3 linked regions of the Yarrowia lipolytica genome follow. The protein of the gene in region 2 interacts with the protein of the main gene of each other region in a biochemical or structural test. Links are inferred from orthologs where the notes say so. Each region holds a gene or a part of one and is shown on either strand. Other genes may lie near its edges.

Region 1 (7,094 bases), on a different chromosome or scaffold from region 2:
CTCTAGGAGCACAGCCTGAAGAGTGCCCTCGTGGGCATCGTCGTAGATGTTTTGCAGTTGTTGCTGGAGCTGCGTCGGGCCGCCAAACAGACTGTAGTTTGCCATGTGTTGATGTTAAAGGGGCGAAGAGTACTGGGTGATTCTGAAACCTGAAATTTGCAGAAACGTCAAGTGCGGTTGCCTAAGTTAGTTTAGCTTAGATATGCAGGCGGGATGGTCCAAGGGATGGAGGTAGAATTCAGAGAAGGTGCAGAAACGCACGAGTTGAAACGTAGACGGAGAGTTGAGGAGGAGGGGAACGGCGGTGGCAGTCGATTTCTTATCGCATCGGTACATTTATCGACTATTTTCTCTCTATAAGAGTACGCCCACTTTTTTTCCACCATCCTGAGCACTCCACTTTTCCAACTATATTTAGAACACTTGTTTTCCAGCAAGTTCTGGCCATGGCAGAAAAACGCATGGCATTCATAAACACACTGAAGAGAGACGTGTTCGAGTGTGACCCTTTTTTTCTTGCGGCAATGCAATGCACTGGGCTGATCGAAAGGTCGAAATATACAGGTGCTCACGTTATCCAAGCCCCAGTTTTAAACGGCTTTTCACTAGTCCACATATGACGGATTGTGCAATTCTCGTACTTGTACTGTAGATTCAAAAGAGCACTTCCTTTAAACACCACTCTACCAGCCTCATTTCCCCACCTCTAACACCACTGTCGTTATAACACAACACGTACTGTACTGTAAGAAACCTACGGCTGTGAGACAAGTGCACATCTGGGAGCGCTCAGCCCCACAAAATGCCCTAACCTTCAGTGACCTCATACGGCTGATAAGCTGCGGTCTTCCGGGTAACAGACACACGGTCTGTATTACGCACAGTCTATACTGACCGCCTTGTCTTGGAGTGGAGGCACGTGGAACAGACCTCTTTTCATGCACCCAGTCCAAACTTTGTCTTGGAACGAAATTGCAGATGATAGGACGAGAGTGTATGGTGGGGCTGTGGTTGTATCACTACTGTCTTGCGGCATATACAGCCTCCGTTGCTGCCAGTTCTGATATTATTCTTCTTAGCAGCTCTCAACTTCTCCCGTTTACGGTTAACCTCAATTCTCTCAGCATGCAGTGTCATTTATTGGGTTTGGAGGTTTTGAGATACCATTATCGCAGTTGTGGATTGGGCATAAGTATATTAAAAAGCTGTACGTACATATATAAGTATTGCTGCTGATGTTGTTTGGTGACAATGTACGCGCGAGTACCGGTAGCAACCAGACAATAGTTGCGTCTGGTGGTATTGTTTTGTCTTGTGTTTCAGAGGTATACAACGCTTCTTCATATCACTCAGCAACCAGCTCCATATAAATGCCGCCCAGTCCCCATGGAACCCACATAAAACCCGCCGATCACTTTTTAGACTAATTACCTAGCTACACTACTCTGAGCCTGTCTATGTTGTATTTGGACCGAATACTTCCCAACTGGTAGCCTCGTTTGCGATGCGAGCCCTTTATGGCTCTCCCTGGCTCGGGTTCCTTGTACTCGTACCTGTGGCTCGTAACATCTCTCGATCATTGTCCTAACCCTGTGTCCCAACCTGGCAACCTACAAATAGCTGTATGGGAGCCATACAAACACTCACGGCTTTTTCTGTGTGCACTGTAAGCTCGCTGTAAGCTCGAAGCTGGACTTGCTATGCAAGGGGCAGTGTTCGATCGAATCAGTGAAGAAAGATAAGGGATTCCTGTAAGTAATAGGTTAAGTACCAATGGCTCAAATAGTTGGAAATTAGTTGGGGTTCTGATAAAGACAACATCTCGAAAAGTATACCAATCTGTAAAGATAGTGACAGACAGTACACTTAGACGAATCACCTCTCGTTATTGTCTTATTTTAGCCCTCAAAATCGACCCTACCTCCCTCCCCAGCATCACCGACATCAAGCCGGTGTCTGACTAAGACAATTACACTTTTGGTGGGAGACGCACTCGATTTCTCAGAACGCATCACTTGACATCACTTTTAGAACCCAAAGGAAAACATGAACCGTCATTTTCACCGTTGAAATTTCGGGGTTAAAGAAGTGTACAGAAAATCCATACGGAGGGCTAAACGACCAACGTAAAGATGAATAGAATGGCGGAAATGGAAATCCTCAAAATAAAAATGTGGGAATACTCGCCACCCAAGCTGCCTTATAACACCCAAGTCCACTGGCTCTCGTCAGTGGCAAATGTCACTCCACATTACCGCCTTGTAGAAGTCTGTAGGCCCCGAAACAAAGTATATTAGATTTTCCACTGCACATTGACTCTTCATCATCCACAATGCACAGTCTACTGCGAGCAGCCCAGATTGCACGGGTGGCACGTCCCGGTGTCAAGCGGGCCATGACCCCCGCCGTGCGATTCTACTCGGACAAAAAAACCGAGAAATCCGACCAACCGTTCCAGAGCTCTTTGCTGAACGACGATTTGCTGGCCCAGGCCGGTATGGACGTTGATGAGTCCAAGGGCAAGAGCAAGCCTGCTGCTGAGGGCAAGTCCGAGGGTGCTGCCGAGGGAGCTACTGAGGACGATGTCACAGACGAGCAGCGAGCCCGATGGGCCGGAACTGCCAAGAAGTCCACCGACCAGACCTCCAAGCAGGAGTCTCGAGAGCGAATTGCCGGCTACGGATACTACGCCTTCTTTGCTGGATCAGCAGCTTTCGCCGCCTACCTGGCCCGAGACTGGGACAATGAGGAGGACAAGAAGAAGCATGATACCATTGGCCAGGGATACACCCCCATGCTCATGTGGGCCCGTCTCAAGGCTCGAATCGGAGACACCTTTTCCTTCTACCGAGACCCCGTGGCTCCCGTTCTTCTCCCCGATCCCCCTGCTCCCCCGTACCAGCGACCTTTGACGCTTGTTATTGCCCTCGACGATCTGCTTGTCCACCAGGAGTGGAGCAGAGAGCATGGCTGGCGAGTGGCAAAGCGACCTGGCGTTGACTACTTCCTGGGCTACCTCGGCCAGTACTATGAGATTGTTCTTTTCTCTTCTCAGTACATGGCCAACTGCGAGAAGCTCATCATGAAGCTTGATCCCTACCACGCCTGGTTCTCCCACGTTCTGACCCGAGAGCACACCACTTACGAGGACGGTAAGCTGGTCAAGGACCTGTCTCTGATGAACCGAGATATGGGCAAGATCATCATCATCGACCCCGATACCGGATGCACCATGAAGCAGCCCGAGAACTCCATCCCCATCGAGCCCTGGAAGGGAACTCCCGGCGACAAGGAGCTGGTCAAGTTGATCCCCTTCCTGGAATGGCTGGTGTCTCAGAACGTGAACGACGTTCGACCCATTCTTAAGGCCTTTGATGGCACCTATCTGCCTGACGAGTTCACCCGACGAGAGGCCATTGCCCGAGAAAAGTTCGAAAAGGACTGGTACGCCAAGCACGGAAAGGACGGCCAGTGGGCCTCCAAGTTCCTGGGTGTCTCCGAGCCCAAGCAGCAGAAGCCTCTGATGCCCCACGACGTGATGCGACGAGAGGGCCAGAAGCAGTACCAGAAGTTCCTGGAGTACCTGGCCGTTGAGGGCCCCAAGCTCAAGGCCGAGGAGGAGCGAATGATTGCTGAGCAGAAGGCTATGGGACCTAAGAACCTGTCGGAGGCTGTCTCCAGCATTGGTTCTCTACCTCCTGTGCCCCAGCAGCCCACTGAGCCCAAAGCTTAGATGTATATAGTATGAGTTAACGTGGCACGATGAGTGATAGAGCCATGAGCGAGCCATGTGTGAGCCATGTGTGAAGCGAATGGTGAAGCGAATGACAACGCGATTGGATAAATGTAGCTGCTGTAGCCGTAGTCCGGGCCTATTCAATCGCTGGCTGAGAACTGTTAGTCACTGCCCCTTCTTCGCTACAAACTGTCTGATGTATGTCTGTTGCACAAGCGCATATATATATCCCGTGTCTGGTGAAGGGAAAGGACGACGGCTGGGGGAAACACAAATATATATCAAACGCGATGTGCACTTTTCATATCAACGACTTGCTGTTATCTTGAGATGAGCCAGATTGACTCTGATCTGTTACCCTGATAACGACGCACCCAGTTTATTTATATCTTCAGTATGCATTGATACGAGCTGCCTCGGTATGAGCCCTGGTATCTCTTTCATCAGACTATAAGTACACACCAAGTTTTTTCCGAAGTTGATGAACATACAAGTATTAGTATGAGTACATTATTCTGGAAGAGTGGCGACGAAACTGTAGTCTCGTTCTTCTGACTTTTCTCGCTTACAGTCCTGAGCCGGCTGAACAGGGCTGAGTTTAGATCCTCCTCATGTCTTAAACTCGTACGTCACATGGTGAGTTATATATAATGGACGATGATGGGCGATGTGAATGAGTAGAACAAAAGTAGTGAGAGGTGTTTAAACAGAACGTGCAAAGCTTCCAGCTGTTCCCTCTCACTTGTCATGCTCTTCTCAAGCAACCCTGTCTTAGCTATTCCCGCATCACTCATCTTAAATGTGTCCGGAGATAAGTAAGCTTCAGCTGCCTGTACAGTTTGCGAGTCCCAAACTATCCAGGCGATAATAATAGTTCTCCATGAGTACATTACCGCGGGTATCTGAGGTTGCTTTTGGGGTGTCATTCTGTAACAGTCTCATCTTTTTATATTGCTCAATGCAAAAATCGCATTTCCAGGTCTCTGTGGGGCCCACCACTTGTCGAAACAGGTGTTGTTATGATGTCGGATTTTCATTTACCCTACTCACGTGACGCCCAAGACATGTAGTACAGAGACTTTAATCAGACTGAACCATCAACAGCTCTGCGAACTTGCCTTCTTACGACCCCACAATGGCCCAGTTCCCGCTGTTTCAGAAATTCCAAAAGGCGATACAGCACCCGCCGGCCCTGTCGCTTGGGCTGCCCATTTTTCTGACCGTCATTTTCCTGTTGTCCCAGCGATATGTGTGGATTGAGGACGACCTGGAGCTGCGAAGCACCGCCCTGACCAATTTCGAACGTGAGTACACCGCAACAACACACCACTATTTTCCCCCTCGCTAACTAGTCAACCGAATCTCATTCTACCCCCTGGTCCATGCCACCTGGTTCCATCTGCTGCTCAATCTTGTGGCGCTACAGCCCATTGTGTCGCAGTTTGAGCGAGTCAATGGAACTGTGCGAACCGGAATCGTGCTCAACATTCTCGCTGTTGTCACTGCCATTCCCTGGTGTCTGTTGTCTATCGGCTTCTTCCCCGATGAGGCTGTCCTGGGCTCCTCCGCCTGGATCTTCTCCTTCATGGGATACTGGGCCATCCGGGAGTCCTCCAAGCAGCCTACCACCCAGCTGGCCCCCAACCTCGTGGTGCCCACTTGGCTTCTACCCATCATCTACCTGGTTGTCATTGCCATTGTCATCCCCAGCTCTTCCTTCATTGGCCATCTGCTGGGACTGATTGCTGGCTGGATGATGGCTCTGGGCTACCTGGACGTACTCATTGAGCCTTCGTCCAAGGTGGTGCTCTGGATCGAGAACAAGATCTCCAGAGTCATTGACCTGATCCCCTCGTCCATCGTCACTTTCTACCGAGAAGAGGGCGCTTTGGACACTCGAGCTGCCGCTCGAGCAGACACCAACCGGTCCCTGTCCGTGTCTGGCGGCAACTTCCTGGGCTTCCAGGCCAACTCCAGCCAGGCCGATCTCGAGGCCGGTACCCGGTCTCGAGGCAACAGCAGCGTTGACCCCACCACTTCTTTCCCTGGAACGGGCCAGACTCTTGGTACCCAGTAAAGGACGATACCAAAATGAACGTAGAACATGTAAACATGTAATGAGCCATGACCTTTTAAGTGAGTTACAGGTGTAGGGTGTTTGTGCGACTGGTGTAATACATGTACACAAGAAATATAGTGCCCTGTATCGTAGATTGACTACTGAAGATCCCAGGGTGGATGGATGATGTACATACCAGCTACACTTTGTAGTATCGATATGAAGCTGGGAACGCACAGTGGGACTATCACGATGACAAAAACTTGAAACCATGCAATTAATTATGTGTACTCAATCGTTCGTCTTCACAATCTACCTCTGTATCGTTCTCTCTCTCTATGATCGTTGCCCCCTTCATCTCAGAATCAAAGTTCGGGATATGCATGTCAGAAATTTTTCTGTTATCTCGCAACTACACCTGCACATTCCCCAGAGGACATTATTGGACCAGCTAACATGTTGACAGAAGACCAGATTGACGACGTCATGTTCGACGCCCGAGGAGGCGAGCTCGAAAGCATTGAAAAGTTCTTCTCCGCTCAGGACAAGCCCCTTGAGACCCTCAAAGAGGTCAAGGACCAGTACACAGAATCCACCCCTCTGCACTATGCCGCTGCCAACGGTCACATTGACGTTGTCAAGTATCTGCTTGGTTTGGTTGCAGAGGATGCCGAAGCCCAGGCCGCTCTCATTTCCGCCCAGAACGACTCGGGCAACACAGCTCTGCATTGGGCAGCATTAAACGGAAACCTGGACATTGTCAAGCTGCTGTGTGAGGCCAAGGCCGATCCCTTCGTCAAGAACCAGAGTGGACAAGATGTGCTTTACGCCGCCGAGAACTTTGACAAGGAGGATGTCATTGACTACCTGCTGGAGAACTATGATTATGCACCCAAGGAGGATGAGAACATCAAGATTCGATATGAGGATGAGGCTGACGAGGCTAACGAGACTGACGAGGCTGACGAGGCAAAGGAGGAGACCGCTGAGGATAAGGAGACTGAGGAGGTTACTGACACCCTCAAGACCACTTCTGTTTAAGCACATAAAAGGATATTTAATAGATTGTATGATTGATAGAGTTGTGTGTGTGAATGTGCTTGGTAGTTGATGTGTTGTTGACTCATGGACCTTGTGCCTAACGGCAGTAGAATGAGCACAGTATTGCACATTACTGTAAGGCTGGAGTCGGCGTATCACTTCTTTCATCGTAATCACATACTTGAGCGAGTACAAGTAGCTACTGTACTTGTAGATCATTGAAGTGAGCTCAGGCAGACATGCAAATGCTTCCAAACA
Region 2 (7,568 bases):
GAGGTGGGAGAGCCTTTCAATGTTAGCATTTCAGTCAAGATCCGACTGCTGGAGACGGAAGAGAAGACTCTGGAGCTTGTGGACAGGCTGGCTCAGACCGGAGTCAAAAACCTGACGATCCACTGTCGAACTACACCCATGCGACCTCGAGAACCTGTGATTCGAGATACTTTGGCCAAGGTAGCTGAGGTGTGTCACAAGCACGGAATCACCTGCCTTGTTAACGGAGATGTTGAAGGTCGACATGAGCTTGCTGATCTTCAGGAAAAGTACGGCATCGATGGAGCTATGATTGCCCGAGCAGCCGAGGCTAACGCTTCTTGTTTCAGAGCTGAAGGTATGCTCCCTTGGCAGCAGGTGACCAAGGAGTACCTTGATATCTGTCGAGAGTATGACAACTTTTACCAGAACACAAAATACTGTCTGACTCGCATGATCCCCGGAAAGAGTCCCAGTTATAAGAAAGTGGCTGCTTTGAAGGACTGCGAGAGTCTGGAGAAGTACATTAACGAGCAGTACGAGGAAATGCTCAAGGAGAGGGCCGAGGAGGAAGCCAAAAAGCCTGAAGAGCAGGTTATCAAAGAGGTGGGGGAGAAGGCCACAAGGGAGGTGGAGGAATCTATGGTTTCGAACGTTGAGGAGGCCGTTCAAGAGGCACCGGTTGAAGAGACACCTCTGGCTGCTGGCAAGCATGCTCTGGAGGCTGAGGAGCAGACATCTGCGAAGCGGGTGGCTGTTTAGATCAGGAAAAATTAAGGATTAGGAACTGCTCTTGTTGCATTATAGAAAGACAGTGTTATTTAAATAAGAATGTATGCTACAGTATGATTACACAAAGTGCGGGTATATTTTCCTGTTGATTAGGATGACATCGATACAGATACAAACGAGGCCACCCACAGATTCAACAACTGAAACAACTCTCCAGATGATTACAACGGAGCTATCACAGCACGACACTTGGTCCCTAGGATTGCTCAAGGCATGTCAGTTGGTTTGTTTGGCAACGCTGTTTTTGGTATTGAACGACTTCATAATGAGAGCTTTGGGGAAAGATCACAACAAAACAGACGGCTGGGAACTAAACCATCTTAAAAGACAACTGTGGATTAGTTATGAGCATCAGTGCCTGCTCAGCTCGCAACTAGTTCAAGTCTGTGATATCCAACAGGATGCAAGTCGAAAGGCACAATCAACACAAGCCAAATATGAAGTATACATTGACCAGAACCAGATACCCTTCTTTCGCTCGTACAACTGGCGAGATACCAGGAAACAGCTCTACTGTCCTCAGAATGTTTGGTTTTGTGGTGGCTTTGATGGTACATTTACAAAAGTCTCTACAACCCGAGAGGATGAGCACATCGACGACTACGCTATAAGTAGCAAGGAACATTCAAACGAAGAGTACTTTACCAGCAACGATATCTCAGGTTATGAACACCAGGATGCCTCAAATGACCGGGATGCCTACTTTCAAACTTCACCTGATTACATCTGAACTTCGATGACGATGATGCGAGTTACTATCGTGAAGCACTGACGTTAGCTATAGATGGGGGAGAATGTATTTGATGGCAGATGTGTAATTACAGTATGGAGAATTTAGAAGTAAGCACGTGCACTATTGGTTGGAGTAGATGACACTGAAATTTTGTTTGTAGGGCGAGTACGAGGTATGTACGATATATTGTTTCTTGAACTAAAGTGCAATAATTAGAGGGAATTATACTTATGCCAACGCTTCAGACTGCAAAGTTCCGAGGTTCATGTTTGGTGGTTCTATAATGTTCCACATGATGCAGCATGCATGAAAACTGAGGATCATAATTGCAAACCAGGCCCTACGGCACGAGTATAGGGACACATTGAATGGGTGATATAGTACTATACCAGATAATATCTTAATAATAGGCTCAGATATAATATAACTTCGATTTGTCTTCTCTCCTGGACAATATCCTTTTTGGGGCTCTTCAGAGTTATGGATCCACCTGTAGTTCTGAAGTGAGGTATTGATGTTCGGAAAAGTTCTGAGTCGACTACAAGTACAATACCAGCTGTTTGCTTGATCTTTTGTCTGTGTCCATTAGTTGTACTTGTGCTTGTACTACTTGTCTCGAGTAGTTGAGAATACTCAGCACCTGGACTCTCAAATACCTGAACTACAAATGATGTGCACATATCTACACGAATTATCTCGTTACTCATATATTTTAGGGAAGTCGCCTTACTCTTCGAACAACCGCCCGCGTATGTACAATGTACCTCTTATCGAGTTTACTCAAGAGGAGTCTTCTCAGCAGGAGGACCGAAAACAGCCTGCTTAAATACACACCAAACACCGGCTCCGGCAGCGGTGATACCAGAAGCAATGAGCATAGGTTTGGTTCCTCGAGGGGCACGGAAAATGGCTCCGGCAATGGCTCCAGCAGCAATAGAGTTGAAGGAGTCGTGCTTACCTCGGATGTCGTAGAGAATCTTGGAGTTGATGATGTTGTAAAAAAATCCCAGAACACCCATGGAGTTACCAAGGAAGGGACCTCGCTTGGTGATTGTGTTAAGAACGTGGTTGATTTTGATTTTGGCTGGTGCGCCCTCCTGGACTGTTCGCAGACCTTCCATTAGACCCGAGAAACCTCCGACACCGAGACCAGAGAGGTACAGAACGCCGGTTCCGTAACACAGGTCATCGTTCCATCCTCGAGACGGAAGCAGACCATCGTAGTAAATGGTCTCATTGCCCTCGAGAGTGAAGTACTCCATGCCGGCATCGAGACCAGCCATGGGATGCAGCTTTGTGGTGTCGAGATCAGCGTTGAGGAAAGAGGCGGCGGAGTTGGCGTTAGGGTCCAGGTCGAAGGTCACCTCCCTGACCTCCTCAACCTTGGGCTGTTCCTCTTTCTTCTTTCCGAATAGCCAGGACATAGTTGTTTGATGTGTGTTTTGGGTGGGGTGGATGGTTGACTACAGGCAACTTTTTTTCACTTTCGCAAGTTTCAGGGTTAGGGGCTTGCTTATTAAGAAAATGTCACTTTGTAAAGGTTAGGGTCTGTGTTTGGGGTGAACCGAGACCAGGGGTGGTTTATTTTTCACAGTTGTATAGACTTAACGACTTTACACCTGGAAAATATCATCATAACAGACCCATCACTTGATCTATCCAGTCTCATTGAGTCATTTCGCGACGAGTGAGTGGAAAGAATAAGGTTATATCTCCCAATGAAGAAGAGCTTATTCAGTGGCAGTTTTATGCAGAGTAATTACTGTAGCAGAGTTGGCAGTACGATACAGTGCGATAGCTACAAGGACTCCAATGGTGGCACTGGTAACACACAGTAGTTCTCAAAATTGCCACCTGTCATTGCACAAGAACCAGCAGGGGACAAATATTAAAACATTACCAGACGATAGTGCGGCACCAATTTTTTATAACTGAAACTTCAAATTCCCCAATAGCCGACCCCAACCTTTCAAAAATCAATTTCAATTTTTTTATCTTGTTACATGTATGGCCATCTCTTGTTCAAACGAATTTTATTAAAATGGACATGGTAATATCCATACTATACAGGTATAACTTGTAGATCCAGGCTCTCTTTTTTCAAATATGATATCATTACGTGGTACATTTTAAACAACAATAGCTCGAAGGCCGGTCTTGCCTGCCTCGGTGGAAAGATGAAGGGAATCATCAGGGTTCTTTCCAGAAACGATCACTAGGGACTCGTCGTATTCGAGCTTGGAGTCGTGTAGCTCGTTGACATGCTTCTCAGAGATGGGAGAGCCAAACGAGTAGCCCAGACGACCATCGTACGTGGAGGCAGGGGTCTCTTCAGAGACTTGTCCGGGGCCAGTGATAACATGTCGGATCTTGATTCGAGGGTACACACGGGCAATCTCAGCCAGATCGTCGTGGACAAAAGCGGCATCAGCAGTCTCAGTCTCCCAGATCAGGTTGATCCAAGTGAGATCCTCGGGAGTGTAGATAATCTCGTTGATGATGGGCAGCATGGCCTGGATGCCAGTGTCTCTGCAGACCATGAGCAGCTCCTTAACCATGTTGTGGGTGTAGTAGGGCTTGCCAATGGGGCCAATGACCTTGACGTGCTGGTTGACCTTCATTCCATCAAGATATCGACCGACCATGTCCTCACTGCCTCCCACGTTGTTGTGTTTGTACTGCAGGTTAAGAGGGGTTCGGTTGTGCCGAACGACAATGTCAAAAGATCCAGGTCGGATCTGAATCGGGTAAAAATGCTTGATGGCAACCCCGGCTCCTCCAGCAACCTTGGTGTCCCACTCAATTCGAACACCAATCTGCTGGCCGGGCTTGATGCCCAAAGTGTCTCGGGGAGAGGGCAGATCGATGGTGTAGATAGAGGTGTCATTGTTGATCAGCACCTTCTCGGAAACAGCCATTTCGTAAAGCTTAAGCTTTGAGTGAGCGGTGAGGAACTCGGGATCCTCCTTCTCGAGATCATTGAGATCGTTCTGGCCCCGGAAGAGAGTCGAGCCCGATCCTCGGTAGAGCTTGAGACCAGCCAGGCCCAGAGTGATGAAGATTCCTCCGACGAAAATCAGAGGATTTTCCAAGTAGTAGGCCAGAATGCCCATTCCCATTATCAGCAGAGCCGAGGGAATGTAGATTCCATCTCGGGGAGTGTCGAGAACGTCTTCATCCATTGTTGTGTGGTTGGAGAGTGTAGCTGAAGAAGAATGTTAGATGTTCGGGAATAAAGTTGATCATTCATGCACTCCGGGCATTGGGTCGAACGTGATTTCTGGCTGAAAAGACTTATTTGAGGGCAATAAAAGAGGTATTCACGTCAAAAATTGTTATCAGTATTCATATATTGATTAAAATGCCTTGTAGATACCACTTCAACATCCTTCTCCACGGTCGTGTTTAGCTCCTCCTCGTCAAGTCCGAACATTATAGTTAACCTGCAGCCCACAAGTCTGTCTTTTCAGTGTTGTGTTGTTGTAGACCCGATAAAGCCTCACTTCGGGAGTGGAAGGTTCCAGCGCATGGTAACTGGAGGTCCAAGTGGCTGAATGGCGGCAGTGAGATTGAACTTGGACTTTTCAAAGGTGGAATTAGACTTTGGCCCTTCGTTTAGAGCATTGCAAGTAGACCTACATTGGGCTGACTAATTGTGCGATTCAAAAGACGTGAAAATTAGTGTTCAGAATATGAATTTCCACAGAACAGCCCCCCCCCAAATAATCGAATTGGGGTATGAGTTCCACAGAACCAAAAGGGTATCTAACATCAGAGTACAGTACATACCATAATCATCTTTTATTCAATCCAGTTTCACTAAAAAAAAAAAGAAAACTGCAATTCGGCCTTACACCAAGCCACACTACAGAATTGGTAGAGTTGGAGGGACTGTAATGAAACTGCTCCAACTTCAGAGACGGAATATATCTGGAACATCAATATTTGACTAGAATGGATATCCTCTGAAGTGAATGGCGCATTCCGACCCTTGCCTACACACTTGTACTGTTGGCTACAGTAACATCACAAATCAAGACCAGTCCCAATATGCATCTTCTCTTATCATACTTTATCTTTCTTCCTTCTCGAACCACTCACTTCCCCATTCCACCATCCCGTCATGACTCTCGCAGCAGTCGGCCAATTTTGTGCAACCAATTCACTTACTCACAATGCCTCTATTGTTGCAGGACTAGTCCATAGAGCAGCAGCCCTGGGCGCCCAGGCTCTGTTCCTCCCTGAAGCCTCCGACTACATTTCTGGCTCGCCTAAGGAAGGGTTGAGTCTTGCACGAAATGCTGAAAATTCGCCCATGATCGCAGCAATCAGGGAGGCTCAAAAGGAAATCAAACAGAGCGGAATGTCTGGAATTGAGGTCTCAGTAGGAGTTCATGAGCTGTCCTCTTCTTCTGACCGGGTCAGAAACACCCTATTGTGGCTTGATTCCAACGGAGACATTGTCAACAGATACCAAAAAGTGCATCTCTTCGACGTGGAGGTGCCCAACGGTCCTATTCTGCAGGAATCAAAGTCAGTAGAGCCCGGGTCTGAACTTCCCAAGCCGTTCGAGACCCCAGTGGGAACAGTTGGACCTGCTATTTGTTATGATATCCGGTTTCCTGAGCTGGCATTGTTGTTGAGAAAGCAAGGCGCCCAGATTCTGCAATTTCCCTCGGCGTTTACAGTCAGAACTGGCGCCGCCCACTGGCACGTTCTTGCCCGAGCTCGTGCTATCGATACCCAATGCTATGTCATGATGCCAGCGCTGGTTGGAAAACACACAGAGGACGGCAAGCGAGAAAGCTACGGACACGCCATGATAATTGACCCCTGGGGAACTGTTCTTGCCGAGGCCAGCGACATAGACTCTTCGGCTGCAGTTATTGTTGCCGATATCAACCTAGAGCAGCTGAAGAAGGTCAGGACCAATATGCCTCTGTGGGACCAGAGACGAAATGATGTGTATAGCTTGCTTGAGGTGAAGAAATAGGGCACATTTAAAGTGTGAACGAATGAATGAAACCCATCTTTAGCGTAACAAACGAATAATCTGAGATATTGGCTGAGTAGCATTTTAGTAGATTGAAGTTGTTATTTCTAGTGTACGGTCCTGTAGATATAACGGGGATGAAAGTAGTCGGGAATATTCTCAATGTCCTCAAAGCATATTACATACACATACATACACATACATCAGCAATAAATCTCTGCTGGTTTAATCTCCTTTCAATATTCTAAATTTTTGCAAAAAGTGTCGGTGTAAGACTCACCACGCAACACAGCACATTGCAAAATGCCTGAGAGCAGAAACTCCTAGCTCATTGGAGTTGCAAAAATGATTTCTGGCAGGATCGAACTGCCGACGTTCTGCGTGTTAAGCAGATGCCATGACCAACTAGACCAAGAAACCCGGGTTTTAATTTCGGAGGTCACATATGACAATTTGAGATCGAAATCTTTGAAAAACCCCATCTGTTGTTCCCTCAGGAATGACTTAATTCTTCAATTAGCCGTGTGGGGACTACTCCAAAGCATGATCTTAGTGACTACATGACCATCTTATTTGTCTTTATTGTCCAGTGTCTAGTATGTGTCTAGCTTCCGTCATCCGTCATGAAGGATGAGACGCTCTATCTCGACATACAGTATAATAGGTTTTGGTAGCTCCATGTATGCTACAAATAAACAAACACGACGTGTATGTCGTTAGGGCTCCCGAACTTCTGTCTTCCGTAAGTACATTAATGCAATACATGCTTCCATCTCACCAAACGCGTCCCAAGTCGCTGTTCTTCCATATATTCTGACAATTGGTACCCCCATGCAAAAGTGTGCACACACTGTTAGTATCAGTCGTCTTCATGGAAGCCTATCTGTGCTTTACTCACTAGCTTCCTCACCTGTAGAAGTTTCTGTTTCAGCTCTTTGCTCTCCTCCAGCAATTCTTGTTTTCGTGATTCAGCCTGGCACTCATGCTCCTTGTATGACTTTTTAATCTGGCTTGCAGCATGGTCCATGTCGGCGGCATAGATCTGCGAGTCTCCCACAATCTCCTCCATTG
Region 3 (5,828 bases), on a different chromosome or scaffold from region 2:
GGTCTTGGCAATTTCAAATTGAGAGGCTCCCAGCAATGCTTCAAACACCTTCTGATTAACCTGGGAATCGGAAAGAGTGCTGAAAACAGTCTTCAGCGACACGAGAACCTCTGTGGCAGTAATGAAGGTCTGCCACTGGTCAGAGGTACGCTTTAACCAGTCCTCAGCAAACACAAAGTCATCCAGAAGATCCACTTGAACTTCCTCCCCAGAAGTAGTCACCTTATTAGCCCGTTGAAGGGTGATAGATGGAATAGCAGGTTCCAACAACCGGCAGGTCTCAACAAGCTGCTTCGTGAAATGGCTGGTCAAATGACTAGCTCCAGTAACCGCAGGAGACTCTGTGATCAGAGCAAGAGCATCCCATTGAGTATCGTTAGCTTCAAAAGAGTTCTTCAACACGATCTGAATGAAAGCATCTCGCTCGGACTCGGGGAAAGTCACGTTATGCGCCAAAGTAGCTAAAAGAGGTGTATTGGATTGTGTCACGTGACTCACAAAATCTCGGAAGACAGCCCAGCAGTTTTTGTAAGCAACGTAAGGCTCCAACACAAGCTGCAAGTCGTCCTCAGCAGAGGGCGTTCTCAGATGCGAGCCCAGAAGTTCAATCACGTGGGAAGGATCTCCGTTCTCCAGCTCATCAATTGTCAACCCAGGGTTGATACCATGTAGACGCGTGTAGTTGATGAGCACCTGGGGTACGCCTGCCACCCAATCAACTTCCTCCGAGTTGTTGTGGTAACCACTCTGCAGGATCAGCTGCTCCATCAACTGCGTATCATGTGATACCTTGAACACGAGTCGGATTCGTTCCTCCAGAAAGTTGTGCACAGGTTTGGGTACCACTGAATCGAGGTATGCCAGCAGCTTTTGTTCTCGAGACTTGATCACGAGTTCTGGAATGAATCCCTCATCTCCAACCACACTACCCGTATCTTGTCCCTTGTCCAATTGCCCCTTTCCCACCTTGTTGACGAGCCCCATGTATTCCTTTGGATCCAGCAATTCTGGAGTGAGAACCAGAAGAATGTGCAAAATGTCTTCCTTTTGAGAGGCGCAGAAGGCTGGAGAGCTCGCCAGAAGCGTCTCAAGAGCGTGTATTTGCGCACTGGCTGTGAGTTTTGCTGTTTCGAGAAACAGAGACATGATTGCTATTGTAGTGCGTAGCGTGGAGTGATGCGTTGTGTCGTGTTACATGTAATGGAGTTATGCATGCTGAATTTTGGGGTTAGGGTCGGAGCGGCGTGGTGTGGGTAGTCAATGGAACTTGGTACTCGTACTTGTAGGGGAGAGGTGAGATTATAAATTAACGAGGGAAAGTACCAAGAAACCGAATTAAGGGGTATGGGGCTATTATTATGGATTATATTGAAATTTGAGGAAGTTCTATAAGTTTGATTTCGACAGGAGGTATTTGTTGAAGTTTAGTTAGGAAGTCAAGTATCAGGATGACTAAGATGTGTCTTTGATTCGATTCCCACTTATGACTGTATTTTCTTACATACAATGTGATCAGACCTGTTCTCGCTACGAGGACCAGAATAGTATCAATGAGAAGTTTATCAATGAGGATCGACCTTTGTTTCCTTATAGAATAATTCAGCTTCCTTAATAGTTGTATACCCCCCAAAACAACCACAACCACCTGCTATCCATCCTCTCCCCTTACGCCTTCCACCTACAGTACGTGTAACTCTAATACATGCAGGTGAAAAGCTACTCTTAAATTTCAACTACTGTATCTCGACAACGGCACAACTCTTTTTCCCCAAAGATGGCTATCGGAATCACAGAAAAGATCACACAGATCCAGGAGGAGCTGGCTCGGACGCAGAAAAACAAGGCAACCGAGTACCACGTTGGTCTGCTCAAGGGTAAGCTCGCTCGATATCGACAACAGCTTCTGGAGCCTGCTCCTGGAAGTTCGACTTCCAAGGGAGAAGGATTCGAGGTCAGCAAGTCTGGACATGCCCGAGTGGCTCTTATTGGCTTCCCCTCTGTTGGAAAGTCGTCACTGCTCGGCAAAATCACAAACACAAAGTCGGAGATTGCTGCTTACGCCTTCACTACCCTGACGTCAGTTCCTGGTGTGCTGGAGTACAATGGAGCCGAGATCCAGATTCTCGATCTGCCCGGTATTATTCAGGGTGCTTCCGAGGGTAAGGGTCGAGGTCGACAGGTTGTTTCGACCGCTAAAACTGCCGACCTGGTGCTCATGGTTCTGGATGCTACCAAGCCTGAGGAGCAGCGTGCTATTCTCGAGCGAGAACTCGAGTCTGTGGGCATCCGACTTAACAAGGAGCCGCCCAACATTTATTTCAAGATTAAAAAGACAGGAGGCGTCAAATTTTCTTATACCAACCCGCCCAAGTACCTCTCGGAGAAGATGGTGATGCACTTGCTCAAGGACTACAAGATCCACAACGCCGACGTGCTGATCCGAGATGAAAACGTGACGGTCGAGGATATGATCGACGTGATCCACGCCGACCACAGATCCTACATCAAGTGTCTATACTGCTACAACAAGTGTGACGCTGTGTCTCTGGAGGAGGTCGACCGGCTTGCTCACATGCCTGACACCGTGGTCATTTCTGCATCCATGGAGCTGGGTCTCGATGATCTGACGGAACGAATCTGGGCCGACCTCGCCATGCTACGAATCTACACAAAACGAAAGGGAGAGCTTCCGGACTTCGCTGAACCCACCGTGGTTAGATCCACTCACAACACTATCGAGGATGTCTGTGACACTATTCACAGAGACATGAAGAACAAGTTCAAGTACGCGTTGGTGTGGGGTGTGTCGGCCAAGCACTCGCCGCAGAAATGTGGTCTTTCGCACAAGATTGGAGACGAAGATGTGGTGTGTATTTTCACCAAAACGTAGAGTGCTTCGAACTCTCTGATGGCAGGTGTCAGAGGAGACAAGTAGATGATAATATAAACATGAAATACGCATGCAGACCGTACTGGTGGCTTCTGGTAGTTCATATTGGTATTGATGCCTGGTTGACTAAGACTGATCCGTGACATGGAACTTTCCAGAATACTCGCGAGCACAGAAACGCAATCTATAACAACAGCAGACTCGAAAGACTGCAATAAATACACCCTGGGCCATTACACGCAAACTAAATGTGTCGACCTCACAATGATATGTTCTCTTCTACACACTATTCAAATCCATCAATCTCATTAGCAACGGACAACCGTACTGGCGTCCGCCGTTCCTATATACATCCTTCTTATTGCCCTTTGCAATGATGCTCCGCAGTTACTGGTGGTTAAAGCCGTTGTGAGTCAGCATCACAAGGGGAAACACACCTGTAACACACAACATTTGCTTCGATCATGTTGTTTATTTGAGTCCTCCCCGCTTCTCAAGAACAGACTTAGCCTCGTTGATCTTGGTGGCAACGTAGGGAGATCCGCCTCGATCGGGATGGTTCAGCAACATGATCTTTCGGTGCTGGCCCTTGAGCTTGTTCATGGTCAGACCGGCGTCTCGAAGAGACAGAATTTGCAGAGCCTCGGAGGGACCCATTTTGTTCTCAAACCCGCCCTTGAAGAACTGGCCTCGAGCGCCGGCAGCAGGACGCTTGAAAACAGCGCCCAGAGCATACAGACCGACCAGAGTGGCGGCAGTGGCCTGGACAGGGTGCTCGGCAAAGTAGTCGAAAATCTGCTCGTCGATGCCCTTCTTGGGGCCCTCGGGGACCTGGGGGGCCTCGATCTGGGGAGCGACGCCGGTCTCGGAGTCCATCAGAGGCTCCGACTGCAGAGGTTGGACGGGGGTAGTGCTCATGGTTGTGTAGTGTGCTGTGGTGAGTGGTGATGTCAGACTCAATTTTTCACCACCAAAATATACTTTGAGTTTCGAATTTGGGTGGTTGGTTTTGGCAGCATGCAGAAGACACAGGGAAGACTTTGGGGGACGATGTAGGTGTGCTAAGGGAATTTAGAACATACCAGTGTGCTTCTATAAACGAGAAGAGTACGATAATGATACCACATTTTCCCTTTAGGAGCTATCACACGTCCCCGTGTAAAGTGATCGAGTATAACTAAATACCGAGGTTAAAATGAGGTAAGCTTTGCGGATCTCAACTTCGGGATGCTCATAAGACGTTTAATAGTAGATCTATTTGGAATAAATTTTCACAGATAATATATTGGAAGTGTGTTGTTTCTGTCAGAACAATTTTTACCCAAAATGACACCCAATTTAGTTGAGTATAAGTAACCCCCAAAATCTCTCCCCATAACAATCCTAAACTCTAATACATAGAGATGGCGAATGAATGGGTTTTTCCAGCAATCATATAGGTGTCTATGGGATCTATTAATTGGCTCTGATTATTTAAAGCTGATAAATATACCCACATCCATTCTAGAACGGTGTTTTCTTTCTTGTGTCATTAGAATCCCCCACAAAACCTGTCCCGCAGTATCTCCGAACGCCCTTATTAAGCGGGGTTGAGTTTTGTGTGTGTGCAGGGAAAGGGTTGATCATACTGGAGAGTCGTGAGGACGATATAAACGAAGAGATGTCCCAATTTCCTGAGCCGGTGACTTAGTACGAGATCTAAGATGTACCTGATCTTGGTAAGTTGACCACAGCTGAATGTACTGGAGCTTATAGAGGTAGCTAGAGCTTGTAGTGTAGCTACTAGAATATCACCAGTGCACTGTAGATCGCGCACAATCTATTACAGTAGACTATAAGTTGATGGACATGCTACAGTATCATTGATTTACGAGCTTGGTCTAACTACAGGCACGAGTATTGTAGTTACACCAGTGACCAAACCACAGGCTAATTGCCATTCTGGTGCATCCAGTTAGTGGTACCGGCGATAAAAGTAGTGGCAAGAGTCGAGTTCGTTACAAGTTGGCATCCTGATGATAACATCAAGTGTTGTACATATTAGCATCGATTTCTGTAGCTACATCAAGAAAAATGGGCACTAAGGCACTGGGGGAACTGATGTTACAACATGGTATGAGAATATGATACTGTATATGTGATTATCAGATGAGCTATCTTCTAACACCATAGATCCCTTCTCTGTGCTGTGGTACATGTATGGGACCACAGTCCCTAATTCCCATCGCCACACCAGTATGTACACAGACGTATGGCCTGTAGCATCTTCAATCTCACTCGACCTTTTCAAGTACCCCCGTATGCACCATCATTTGCCGTCGCGACCTTCGTGACAATTCCTCCGGTATGTATATTCTATACTCGTCTGTGATGTCTTTGTCCTCATCAAATGTCATAGTGGCATGTAACATGTTATCCAGGCAGGGTATGCTTTTGGGGTTACGAAGCTACTTTGGACCCTTTTTATACACGGCACTCCAACGTAGAATAGGAAATAGGGGATATTGGCCTGTACTTGTAGTGTTTTTTTTTTTTTTTTTTTTTTTTTTTTTTTTCAGATTATATCAGATATTGTTTCCCATCAGATTCTTCCTCTCTATGAATTTTACCGAATTTCGCCATGTTTCTTGTCCCTTGTTTGATTTGTTTCACAATTAAGCTCATTTTTGCTCGTTTAAATTCAAATTCGCTTAATATGTTCCTTGTTGTCAGCTCGTATCGAGATATACTAGCTGAGAATGTGCTGAGCGGCTTTGAACGTGGCGCCACTTACTATACGCATTGCAAGACATAGAACCATTCCCGTAATAAAAATTCCCTGGGAGCGTACACAAACGCCTCACGTGACTTTTCCGCACTTTTGCGCTCCTCAAAACATACGGCAGCATTGAATTTTGTGTTTAATTTTAATGTACCTTCACTGTTCTGCACGGCGCAG

What was found.
Region 1: the proteins of YALI1_F36760g (region 2) and YALI1_B27254g form a complex in vitro, tested with the Saccharomyces cerevisiae proteins (12 studies listed by BioGRID). The link is inferred for Yarrowia lipolytica from reciprocal best matches to the Saccharomyces cerevisiae genes TIM23 and TIM50.
Region 3: the proteins of YALI1_F36760g (region 2) and YALI1_B17132g form a complex in vitro, tested with the Saccharomyces cerevisiae proteins (4 studies listed by BioGRID). The link is inferred for Yarrowia lipolytica from reciprocal best matches to the Saccharomyces cerevisiae genes TIM23 and PAM18.

What each region holds. Positions count from the first base shown.
Region 1 is NC_090771.1:2,723,113-2,730,206, forward strand, and holds YALI1_B27254g (uncharacterized protein), read left to right. Parts: upstream 1-2,332; coding exon 2,333-3,733; downstream 3,734-7,094. Other genes in the region: YALI1_B27211g (uncharacterized protein), read right to left, coding at 1-105; YALI1_B27280g (uncharacterized protein), read left to right, coding at 4,872-5,040, 5,089-5,813; YALI1_B27293g (uncharacterized protein), read left to right, coding at 6,252-6,836.
Region 2 is NC_090775.1:3,671,408-3,678,975, reverse strand, and holds YALI1_F36760g (uncharacterized protein), read right to left. Parts: upstream 2,929-7,568; coding exon 2,281-2,928; downstream 1-2,280. Other genes in the region: YALI1_F36794g (uncharacterized protein), read left to right, coding at 1-741; YALI1_F36781g (uncharacterized protein), read left to right, coding at 815-1,501; YALI1_F36742g (uncharacterized protein), read right to left, coding at 3,634-4,686; YALI1_F36733g (uncharacterized protein), read left to right, coding at 5,628-6,497; YALI1_F36710g (uncharacterized protein), read right to left, coding at 7,357-7,568. UniProt on the Saccharomyces cerevisiae protein: Essential component of the TIM23 complex, a complex that mediates the translocation of transit peptide-containing proteins across the mitochondrial inner membrane.
Region 3 is NC_090771.1:1,709,439-1,715,266, forward strand, and holds YALI1_B17132g (uncharacterized protein), read right to left. Parts: upstream 3,809-5,828; coding exon 3,362-3,808; downstream 1-3,361. Other genes in the region: YALI1_B17105g (uncharacterized protein), read right to left, coding at 1-1,146; YALI1_B17112g (uncharacterized protein), read left to right, coding at 1,775-2,890. UniProt on the Saccharomyces cerevisiae protein: Essential component of the PAM complex, a complex required for the translocation of transit peptide-containing proteins from the inner membrane into the mitochondrial matrix in an ATP-dependent manner.